3 linked regions of the Saccharomyces cerevisiae S288C genome follow. The gene in region 3 interacts genetically with the main gene of each other region. Each region holds a gene or a part of one and is shown on either strand. Other genes may lie near its edges.

What was found.
Region 1: mutations in MLF3 (region 3) and VHS2 impair growth when combined (synthetic growth defect), as found in Saccharomyces cerevisiae (one study listed by BioGRID).
Region 2: of MLF3 (region 3) and PCL2, extra expression of one rescues a mutant of the other (dosage rescue), as found in Saccharomyces cerevisiae (one study listed by BioGRID).

Annotation. Positions count from the first base shown.
Region 1 is NC_001141.2:94,483-98,393, forward strand, and holds VHS2 (Vhs2p), read right to left. Parts: upstream 1,894-3,911; coding exon 583-1,893; downstream 1-582. Other genes in the region: OM45 (Om45p), read left to right, coding at 1-318; YIL134C-A (uncharacterized protein), read right to left, coding at 2,040-2,243; flavin adenine dinucleotide transporter FLX1, read left to right, coding at 2,913-3,848. UniProt on the Saccharomyces cerevisiae protein: Can suppress the synthetic lethality of the hal3 sit4 double mutation when overexpressed, suggesting that it is involved in the G1-S transition.
Region 2 is NC_001136.10:233,133-236,506, reverse strand, and holds PCL2 (cyclin PCL2), read right to left. Parts: upstream 1,581-3,374; coding exon 654-1,580; downstream 1-653. Other genes in the region: AAA family ATPase CDC48, read left to right, coding at 1-350; VCX1 (Vcx1p), read right to left, coding at 2,620-3,374. UniProt on the Saccharomyces cerevisiae protein: G1/S-specific cyclin partner of the cyclin-dependent kinase (CDK) PHO85. Essential for the control of the cell cycle at the G1/S (start) transition. Together with cyclin PCL1, positively controls degradation of sphingoid long chain base kinase LCB4.
Region 3 is NC_001146.8:486,108-490,071, forward strand, and holds MLF3 (Mlf3p), read right to left. Parts: upstream 2,018-3,964; coding exon 659-2,017; downstream 1-658. Other genes in the region: snoRNA-binding rRNA-processing protein IMP4, read left to right, coding at 1-372; lysine--tRNA ligase MSK1, read left to right, coding at 2,279-3,964.

The sequences.
Region 1 (3,911 bases), on a different chromosome or scaffold from region 3:
GGTGAAACAGCCGCTCAACTTTCCAAGGACGAAATGGACGATTTAAGATGGAATTATGAGAATTCAAAGAAACAACTGGATAAGAACGTGTCCGATGCCATGGACTCGTTATCTAAGGCGAAGGAGGACTTGAAACAGTACGGCAGCCACTGGTGGTCTGGATGGACTTCCAAGGTCGACAATGACAAGCAGGCTTTAAAAGATGAGGCCCAAAAGAAGTACGATGAAGCGTTGAAAAAGTACGATGAAGCCAAGAACAAATTCAAAGAATGGAATGATAAGGGTGATGGTAAATTCTGGAGCTCGAAAAAGGACTAGTTAGATAGCTAATTGTAAAGGGTTGGTTCCCGCATAACATATATACATATTCACATGTTTCTCATTTTTTATATTTGAAATCACATATGGTCTTTGCTGATTATGGATTGGAAAACGGAGTAAATTAGTGGCATTATTGGGGTATACGTGCATACATAAAATACCGTTATATATCTATATATATGGAAAAAAGAGACTTAAATGAATTTTTAGAGTAGGAGAAGAAGGTTGAAGAAATGAACAATCGCGGCCCTTCAGTTTTCTTTATTTGGTTGTGTCTGGATTCATAGAGGTTATTGTAGAGTTTGAATTTGATTTTGAACTTGGATTCGAGTTTGTGAACGCAGGGCTATTTTTGATGTTATTATTAATAGTATTCTTGTGTTTATTAGTATTATTGTGATTATCGTTAACCATGTTGGCAATTGATGGTGGTTGTGCCAGTTGTGACTGCAATTTTTGCTTTAGATTGAGTTTATCTCTTTCAATCATAGTGTTGTCCTCCTCTTCGGAAGAAAACCCTTCACTGCCACTGGATTCCATATGGAATTTGGATTTAGGTTTCCCGATCATAATGTTGGCAGCACTGCCGGGCCTATTGCTGTTTCTTCTTGAACGGGCGCTCCCTGAAGGTGACCTTTGTTGTTTAAGTAAGTACTGTTGGTTCGATGGCGATCTTGATAGTGCGGCCCCCGTAGTGCTTCCAGCGCTGGTTCCCCCATTGGCATTGTTGATCGTTGTGTTAGAGTAACGTCTAGATATGATGAAAGGGTTGGTGAAGTTCATATGCTGAGGTGGTGATGCCGAAGCTGATGGGGGGGAAGGCAAATGAGAAGGAGAATTCAAAAGGGACGACGAGAACGAGTAGTGACCTTGCATTGGGGGTCTTCTCAAGGGGTTCGCAGTTGATGATGTTGATGTCGCATTACTAACGTTGTTATTGTTGTCATCGGACAACATGTCAGCGTAGGAATAAAACCTTAGTAGTCTTGAACCATGGTCGTTGGGAGATCTTGGATGCGCAGGCGACGTTTCGTTATCAAAAGATTGTGACGAAAGACTTCTTGTCCTACCTAGGGCTCTATCCAGGCCGATGGTAGATGGCCTTCTCGAATAAACCATATCAACGTCATCAAGGCCAGTCGTGTCGTCAGTTACAATAGAACAGCCAGCGTCTAATGCAGGAGGGACGAAATTCTCTAAGGTACGACGGTGATCCAGTGGAGTCTGCACAACAAAATCCGGATTGTATGTCTGGTACGATGCTATTGACTCATTAGTCCTAGAAGGTTGCAAATGTAGATTCACAGCAGACGATCTCTGGCTTAAGTTATGGAAGTTCCTATTACTAGAATTATTATGATTGAACAAACTGGTCCTGCTGCTCTGCCTAGAGAGAGAGTTTGCAGCGTTGTTTGACACCGTTTTATAAAGGTATGATGGGTCCTCTACATTTCTTTCAAAAATCATAGAACTCTCGCTCATGGAGGGGGAAGGTGGCATATAATTATTGTCGTTCTCCCTCTGTGCCGCCACGTGGGAGTCGTGGTCTTGGTTGTGGTTGCTGGTATCCATCTTTGCCGTTTACGTTCGCTTTGCTTGAAGGTAGTCTATCACAAAAGCTTTCAGGATCAACCTTTTGCGCCTCAAGAAATTGCATATCACCAAAGGGTGAGTTTAGTCTGATACTGTTTGTTAATCACCTCACGACTGTTGCAACATTAATATGGCGCACACACCGTGTTACGTGATGAAAATAAAGATAATAAAGCGATAGCATAAATAAAATACCATTTAATACGCTTTGTAAAACAAGCACTAACAAGGCGTTGCTTAATAACAAAATAGTCAGCATTCAACAACGTGAGAAGGATAGCTACGACATCTACATCTGCAGTGTTGTTAAATTCGCTGCCAACAACCATTTATATGTCACCATACACGGTCATGCTCTCTTGCACCATTTTTCTCACCTATATAAAGTGAAAAAGTTTTCGATGTCTCTTCTTCCTTCCTAGTAAACTACACTCCATGTGTTTCTGAAAGGGACCTTCAGGAGGTTACGATCAAGTATCTTGTGACATGCAAGAACTTGATGCTTCGATGGGGGAAGTCTTATTTTCAATGTGTTGAAAAGAGTTAATTATGGAACGGTTGGTCATAGCTTTGTACAGCTCAATGTCGTCATGTTTGTAAGGATACAGGCGCGACTTGATCTGCGACTTACTGCTATCAAACGATAAATTATGTTTTTCTTCGTTTCCTTTTTTTTTCTTTTCAGTTTCCTTCCGTTTATTTTTTTGTTGGATTTATCATGATGAGCATTTATTTTACTGCGTTATCGTATTGACGGGGGCTGTTTAAGTACAGTCTGTTTTATAATCTATATTCATTTATATTTTATATTTCTTACCGAGGAAATTGACTCTTAACAGATTTGCTGAAAGGTTCATCTTACAAAAAAATTGGAAAACTTAAACTGAAAAAAAAAAAGTGAAGGAGTACGTGAAGAGCAGTAGCTTTCATAGGAATATGTACAATATCTTGTCTTTGTACTTTGCAAAACCAGCACGCAGCAGGAAGCTCTTGATAATATGGTCGATCACCAGTGGACGCCACTGCAGAAGGAGGTTATCTCAGGTCTGTCCGCGGGATCCGTCACCACATTGGTAGTGCATCCATTAGATTTACTGAAGGTTCGTTTGCAATTATCCGCTACAAGCGCACAAAAGGCCCATTACGGCCCATTTATGGTAATCAAAGAGATTATACGTTCGTCGGCGAATAGTGGACGTAGTGTTACGAACGAACTGTATCGCGGATTAAGCATAAATTTGTTTGGAAATGCCATTGCATGGGGAGTTTATTTCGGTTTATATGGTGTCACGAAAGAATTGATATACAAGTCAGTGGCAAAGCCAGGGGAAACACAGCTTAAAGGTGTTGGGAACGACCACAAAATGAATTCGCTTATTTATTTGTCTGCCGGTGCTTCCAGTGGGTTGATGACAGCTATCCTAACAAACCCTATCTGGGTTATAAAGACCAGGATAATGTCTACAAGTAAAGGCGCCCAAGGAGCGTACACTTCTATGTACAACGGTGTCCAACAACTGTTACGAACTGATGGCTTCCAGGGCCTATGGAAGGGCCTTGTACCCGCACTGTTTGGTGTTTCGCAAGGTGCCTTATATTTTGCAGTTTACGATACCTTAAAGCAAAGAAAATTGCGACGGAAGAGGGAAAATGGGCTTGACATCCATTTAACAAATCTTGAAACCATTGAAATCACATCGTTGGGAAAAATGGTCTCCGTCACTTTGGTTTACCCTTTTCAATTATTGAAATCAAACTTACAAAGTTTCAGGGCCAATGAGCAAAAATTTAGGCTCTTTCCTTTGATAAAATTAATCATTGCTAATGATGGTTTTGTTGGACTTTATAAGGGCCTATCTGCAAACTTAGTACGGGCCATTCCATCCACTTGCATTACCTTTTGTGTATACGAGAACCTTAAGCATAGGCTTTAGTAAATAAAGGCTATATGATAGATTTAATTTCTTGTAAATATCAAACGATAAAAATATAAAAAG
Region 2 (3,374 bases), on a different chromosome or scaffold from region 3:
AAGCTGAAAAGGAAGTGAAAGTAGAAGGTGAAGACGTGGAAATGACAGATGAGGGAGCAAAGGCTGAACAAGAACCAGAAGTAGATCCTGTTCCATATATTACAAAGGAGCATTTCGCAGAAGCTATGAAGACCGCTAAACGTTCTGTTTCAGATGCTGAATTGCGTCGTTATGAAGCATACTCACAGCAAATGAAAGCATCTAGAGGTCAATTCAGTAATTTCAACTTTAATGACGCTCCATTAGGTACTACGGCTACGGACAATGCTAACAGTAATAATAGTGCTCCAAGTGGAGCAGGTGCTGCATTTGGTTCTAATGCGGAGGAAGATGATGATTTGTATAGTTAGTTATATGCCAGGTATATTTTTATTTTAAATCGTAAATTCAAGTCATTTCTATAAAAAAAATCGTCAATTTTAACTCAATATTTTATGGCCCTTTTTATATTTATTTTCAAATTTGTCAAAAAAAGGAGAGCTAAATCATTAGAAAAAGAATGCATTATGGTATATTTATGTATATTAATATGTAAAATAAGAAAAAAGGGAGGCTGTAGGACCTCGGTCGTAAGAACATTTACCTGTGTTCTTCCGCCTTTTCCGAAAGTGCCATGAAGAAACGCAGGCCAGGCATAATTTCGACATTTAAAATCACGATTTGAAGTAATTTGACCAATTCGATTTCTTTACTTTTGTATCTTCTTTTATTATCTGTTTGTTTAACCCAGTTTTCAAGATCACAGGGCGCGCTTTACTAAAATTAAAAGGCTTAATTGTCGGTATTGGCCTATTTTCCTTGTTATCGTGTTTGGAGTCTATGTTGTATGTTCGCGGAGAAAACTTGTCGCTAATGTTATTGGATTCGTGTAGTTCGGGCAAAGTTCGTATTCTGTTACTATAATTGGATAAATTCGATCTTCTAGATTCCAACGTGGAGAGGGTCGAAGTGGAAGCTAAAGATGGGATAGACATATTGGACGATGAGCGCGAATGGGAAATGGATGTTTTGTTTACTATGTCTTTTTCTTGAGCAGAAAAATTTTTCAACGTGCGACAGTCTCTTTGCGATTTGTACAACTGCTCCTCTTTGATAGGCTTCAAGAATGGCGAGAGACATGTAATTAAATCATCTGTGGAAATGGTGACGTCCCAATCAAAATATTCTAATAGTTCCCTTTCAATAGTATTAACCTCCCTTAGGATGAGAAGGCCGTCCGTATATTCGGCCCAGTGTTTGTTAAGAGGGGAGGAATCATTTAACGTTTTTGCAGCTAATATTAGGCAACCTAAGAATATTCTATGCCTGGTGGTCTCTATACCATAAACGTTACTCGGTATTATTGATCTTAATTTGGCCAAATATACAGAGGTAGCCATCAGAGTCGGAGTTTGAACGTTAGAATGCTTGATCAGTCTGTTGATGAATTTAGTCAACGGTGGTGCTGGCAATGCAATATCTATCATACTATTCGTCTTCTTAATTTTGATAATGGAAGCTGTGGTCGATGCTAGATATTGCACCATTTCCTTAGATACAGCCTTCCTATTGAATTTCAGCAAGGCTTCGTAGTTTGACATCTTTTGTAGTAAAAAGTTGCTGCCGTATTGAAATTGCTCTTGTCGGATCAGGTTGTTTAGCACCGGGTCTTACTTTTATAAAGGAGAATTATAAAGTGAAAGAAAGGAGAACTTATAAGACTAAAGAAAAAAACACTTAAGAAGCACTTAAACTTGCATTAGATGTGTAAATCGATCAACCTGTAACATGTTTGAGGAAGGTCTCACACGTCTCCGAAGTTACAGCTACCACTTAGCGTGTCTGCGGGAACAATAGATCTCTTCCCAATTTGCACTAAATAGGTAACTAGCCAGGCCTATAAAAATCTTCGAGCGGAGAATTGACCGTAGTATCTGCCAAAAAAATCCACCTGCACCAGCATTTTTCGTGTTACGCGAAGTCTACTTTTCGCGTCATCAAAAGACGCTATAAAAATATAGCTGGGCTAATTTTATTCTATAGCTGGCCATTTTTTTATGCGATATCTGCTGGTTTTTTACAGCTGGAATGCCGTGACAGATGTAACAAGAATGTGTTTCAGCTGGCATTCTCACTCAGAAATGTAAGGCTAAAATCCGCTAAAATAGGGCTTCGCGTCTCATGATCTATTCACATTTGTTTCTAATAAACTATACTACAAAACGAAATTCTGTTGTGCAATGATGTAGGAAGCTCCATGAATTTGAGCAAAATTCCTAAATATTCTCGTTGTAATGAATAACGTTACCCTGAACAGTGCAGCAAAGCAGCTGATGTGCTGCAAGAAGAACACGAGCTGTAGTTGAGAAGCTTCGAAATATTAAACCTTTTATCAGAATGGAAATGGTGCAGAATTTGAGTTTCGAAGAGTGTACAAAATATTTTGTTGGTTTTGAAAACTTTTTTTCAGATAAAATTCGATATAAAAATTAGTTGCGTAAACATAATATGTATAATATAACGATCATAATAATGACTTGCTAGTCATAATCATCTTTGTATTGGTCCATCGATAGAATTACGAAGAAGATAAAATATAAAAAAAAAGAGAATGGTGAATTTCTGCGCTACTGTTCTTACTCATAAACTATTTCCAATAGAGTCAAGGGTTTTTTCGTCTGGATAATAGAAAAATGCCATTGCAATCAAAATATACATAGCTAGAGACATGACACCCTCCAACCAGTTTGACTCACCATCGAGAATTAAGTAATTGGATAAGAAAACAGCAATAAAAAGAGTAGCGGTTTCAAAAGTGGAGAAATTTAGCGTCATTGGAACATCGATCATCCAGCCCACAAGAACCATGAATGGTGTAACAAATAAGGCAACTTGTAAAGAGGAACCGATGGCAACACCTAGCGCCAGATCCATCTTATCCTTCATGGCCACCAAGACTGAAGTGACATGCTCTGCGGCATTACCCACAATAGGAATGACAATCAAACCTATAAATGTTTTAGATAGCCCGGTAGATTCAACAACGTTGTCTATCGTACCGACTAGAAAATCCGCACAAAAAGAGATGATCACAGTTGTACCTAGAAGTATCACCAATGATGACTTGACACTCAAAGAGTGATGTGGATTCCTGGAAATGGTGCTCATAACTTCATCGGTCTCTTCTTCTTGTTGCTCAAACAAGGCGTGATGGCTCCCTAGCTGGAAATATAAGAACAAAACGTAAACGATGAGAATAACAATAGAGGTGCCTCTGGATAACTCCAATATTTTTCCATCGATGAAGTGGTCTTCCTTGCCATGAGGTAGGGTGGCTCTAAAGGCAGCGGGAATCAGTAGGGATGCACACGCAATGGCAAGTAATGAGGACATTG
Region 3 (3,964 bases):
CACAATGTTGTTATGAGACATGATATTATAAATGCTGGTAACCAAAGCGAAGTGAATCCACATCTAATATTTGATAACTTTACTACCGCTTTAGGGAAAAGAGTAGTCTGTATTTTAAAGCACTTGTTCAATGCGGGGCCCAAAAAAGATTCCGAAAGAGTAATCACTTTTGCGAATAGGGGTGATTTCATTAGCGTTAGACAGCATGTATATGTGAGAACAAGAGAGGGAGTAGAGATTGCCGAAGTTGGTCCTAGATTTGAGATGAGGTTGTTTGAACTGAGGTTGGGAACTTTAGAAAATAAGGACGCTGATGTTGAGTGGCAGTTGAGAAGATTCATAAGGACTGCCAATAAAAAAGACTATTTGTGAATTTTTTTATAGATTTGTAAAGGTTAAAATAGAAGGCCGATGAGGCCTTATGTAAGTCTAATATGGTATTCTTAAAAAAAAAAAAAAAAAAAAAGCGTCTTAGAGGGAATATAAGAGAAAAGAAGAGATAGCATAACACATGATTTATTTTTATTTTTGCGTTTTTTTTTTTTCTTAATTGTTTATCAATGTATCTGTGAGAGTATCTACATAAAAAAAATAACCATATGAAGACATAAATTTAAAAGAACAAAACGAACGAAGGGAAGAGGTGCAGAAAGGAAATTTATGTATCACAACTATTAAATTCAGTTGAAAATCCACCATTTGAAACTTTTTTCTTAAGCACTTCACTGACTTTTTCAACTCTTAACTCATGTTCGGAGGATAACGTATTAGAAGAAGACACGTAAGAAGGATCTGTTGATAAAGGCATGGGCTTGCCTATTGCTGTATATGACGAAGATGTCGATAAAGGCGTCTGGGTTGCTAATTCGGGATTACTTGCCAAGTTTGCACTTGAACGCAAAGACGAACTTAACGGAAAGGAAGGATCTAGCATGTCCATGGTTAAATCTTCTTCTTCGCTGTCACTTGATTCTATTTGGAACTTGGGATTCTTGTGCATGTTTGCAACAGGGTCAACGTTTGATAAAATGGATTGTCTTTGAAATAGTATCGAAGATGACCGGTTTTTTGGGGATTTTGCATTGTTATTAGCATTATTTGAATATTGTCTCGCAGATTGCTGCGGAGATACATAAGGCGAAGTAGCTGGTAATTCTGTAGTTTTGATGAAGGGGTTGGAAAATGTCGTTGTTGCTGACGATGAAGAATAGGCTTGTGGTGGGGACCTCTTGAGGATGAAAGGGCATGAGTACGCTTGGGATTTCATAGGTGGTCTAGATGTAGGCGTATTATTGGCCTGTGCAAGTTTTTCATCATTCAACATATCGACGTAAGAGTAGAATCTTAGTATTCTGGAGTTTGGTTCGCCATTTGAAGTTGTGGTGGTCATCCCGGTGTTATTGATGTTATTCAAGGTGGGACGTGTAGCCGCAGAATGCGAATGAGATCTCGAAAGTTTAAGATCTGGCGATGCTGGCGAAGATTCTGATGAGGGAAGAGTGGCACTATTCGTTCTAGCCAACAGGGCCATGTTTAGGCTCACAGCAGAGGAAGGTCTTCTTGAATAAACCATATCGACATCGCTCAGGTCAGTGTTCTCATCGTTCACTATTGAGCAACTAGCATCTAAAGCTGGAGCCACCGAGTTTTCTAACGTACGACGGCGATGGTGATGATTTTGCATGTTGCAAATGGGGTTCAAGATGTACTCTTGATGTGCTAGCGAGCTTGTGGTGGAGTTCGACGCCGACCTAGACGTTGGTATGACGTTATCTAGCGGAGAGGAAACATTATTGGAGTTCTTCCTCAACGATGGAGTTCTAACCTCGCTACCAGAGATAGGTATCGGAGAAATGGTCTGCAAGTTGTAAAAACTATTAGATCTTGAGCTATGAGATGTGTTGGAGGCGGAAACCGGAGGTTGAAGAAATAAATCGTTTGAACTTGCCTCTTGCACGGTTCTTTCGAAGATAAAAGAAGGGTTGCTGTTGTTCGAATTTGACTTGTACACGCACATACCGTCTTTTTTGGCAGTTTCCTTTGACAGCACTTAGATTCTCCTCAAGCTCTTTTTACCGTACCTGTTCCTATTTGAAATATTTAGATCTGTGAAAGGATTAGTCTTTTATTCGTGATAAAAGCGAAAATCTAATCCCCTGGGCGCCGCGGAGTGCTCTTCGCCGAGATAAATATACTAAAAGAGAGGCTTTAATTAGTACCCGAAATGACGGTGAATAGTGGGATACTTTTATAATGGTGTTATGTTACATGATTGCCGATGAATGTGCTGTTAAAAAGACGCAGTTTAACGTTTGCACCGAGATGGCTGTGGTGCAAGTGTCGAAGTAGCAGGAGCAGGCCGTATTCTCTGGCACACGCGGTCGACACAAGTAAGATGGAGGCAACCAGGAGGAACGGTCAGATTGTGAAGGACCTGGGTAGATACTATCCGTCAATGTCAGAATCAGCACTCCACGATCTTTGCCAGGAGTATAAAGAAGTCACTATCGCAGACTTTAATGAGAGATTCTTGGGCAACCCAGCCACATTACACCATGAGGATAATCCTAATTTGTTACTTAGTATTAATGGCAGGATTAAAAGCATTAGGTTTTCAGGCCAGAAGATTGTTTTTATAGATCTTTACAACGGCAGTAGCGGATTGAAGAATGATACGCAACTGCAGTTGATCGTAAACTACAATAAAATTGGTGGGAGTAGTGAGGATAAGGCGAATTTCTCAGAATATATGAACTTTTTGAAGAAAGGAGATTATATTAAGGCGCTCGGTTATCCCGGGTTTTCCCAATCCAGAGTCAAGATGCTGTCCTTGATATGTAATAAGCTACCTATAGTATTGTCTGTTTCGCAACTGCCGTTACCTTCCAGACTGAATGATGAAACCAAGATCAAATCTAATAGAGTTGTTGACTACCAATTAAACGGCACTCAGACACTGCTAGTAAGGGCGCGTATCATCAAACTTTTGAGGAAGTTTCTCGACGACAGAAACTTCGTTGAGGTTGAAACGCCTATACTGTCATCAAAGTCCAACGGTGCCATGGCGAAGCCCTTTATAACGTCGTCCAAGGACTTCGACCATTTGGAGTTGCGTATTGCACCAGAATTATGGCTGAAGAGGCTTATAATTAGTGGTTTACAAAAAGTATACGAAATAGGAAAGGTCTTTCGAAACGAAGGCATTGATTCCACGCATAATGCTGAGTTTTCCACTTTAGAATTCTATGAAACTTACATGTCAATGGACGATATAGTCACAAGGACTGAAGATTTGTTCAAATTTTTGATTACTAACTTGCAAAAGTTCTTTCAAGATACCCGTCTGCCTGTCCCTAAGACGTTTAGTGAATTACATCTGGCACTATCCGAGAATAATTGGAAGTTTAGAAAAGTCGAATTCCTGCCCACTTTGAACAAAGAGCTTGGCATTGATCTAATGAACTCTGGATTGGATATCAATAAGCCGAGCGAACTTTTGAAGGCTTTACCGAAAGACATTGCGAAGAAGTATTTTCCTTCTGCAGATAACACTGGGCAATTATCTTCGCTGCAAATCCTAAATAAACTATCGGACGTGTTCCTCGAGCAGCGCCATTGTCAATCAACCTTGCCTACGGTAATATACCATCAACCTGCAATATTATCGCCCTTAGCCAAGACGGATCCGCAAAATAAGCAAGTCACGAAGAGATTCGAAGTCTTCATCAAAGGTAAGGAATACATCAATGCTTACGAAGAGGAAAATTGCCCCCAATTACAACTGCAGAAGTTTCTACAACAAAAGCAGATTAACGAATTGACAGGAAACAAAACTGAGACCTTATCGCCTGTTATTGACTACCAGTATGTTGAGACGATGAAATACGGTATGCCTCCAGTAGGTGGCTTTGGCCTTGGCATAGATAGATTGTGCATGCTATTTTGCGACAAGAAGAGGATAGAA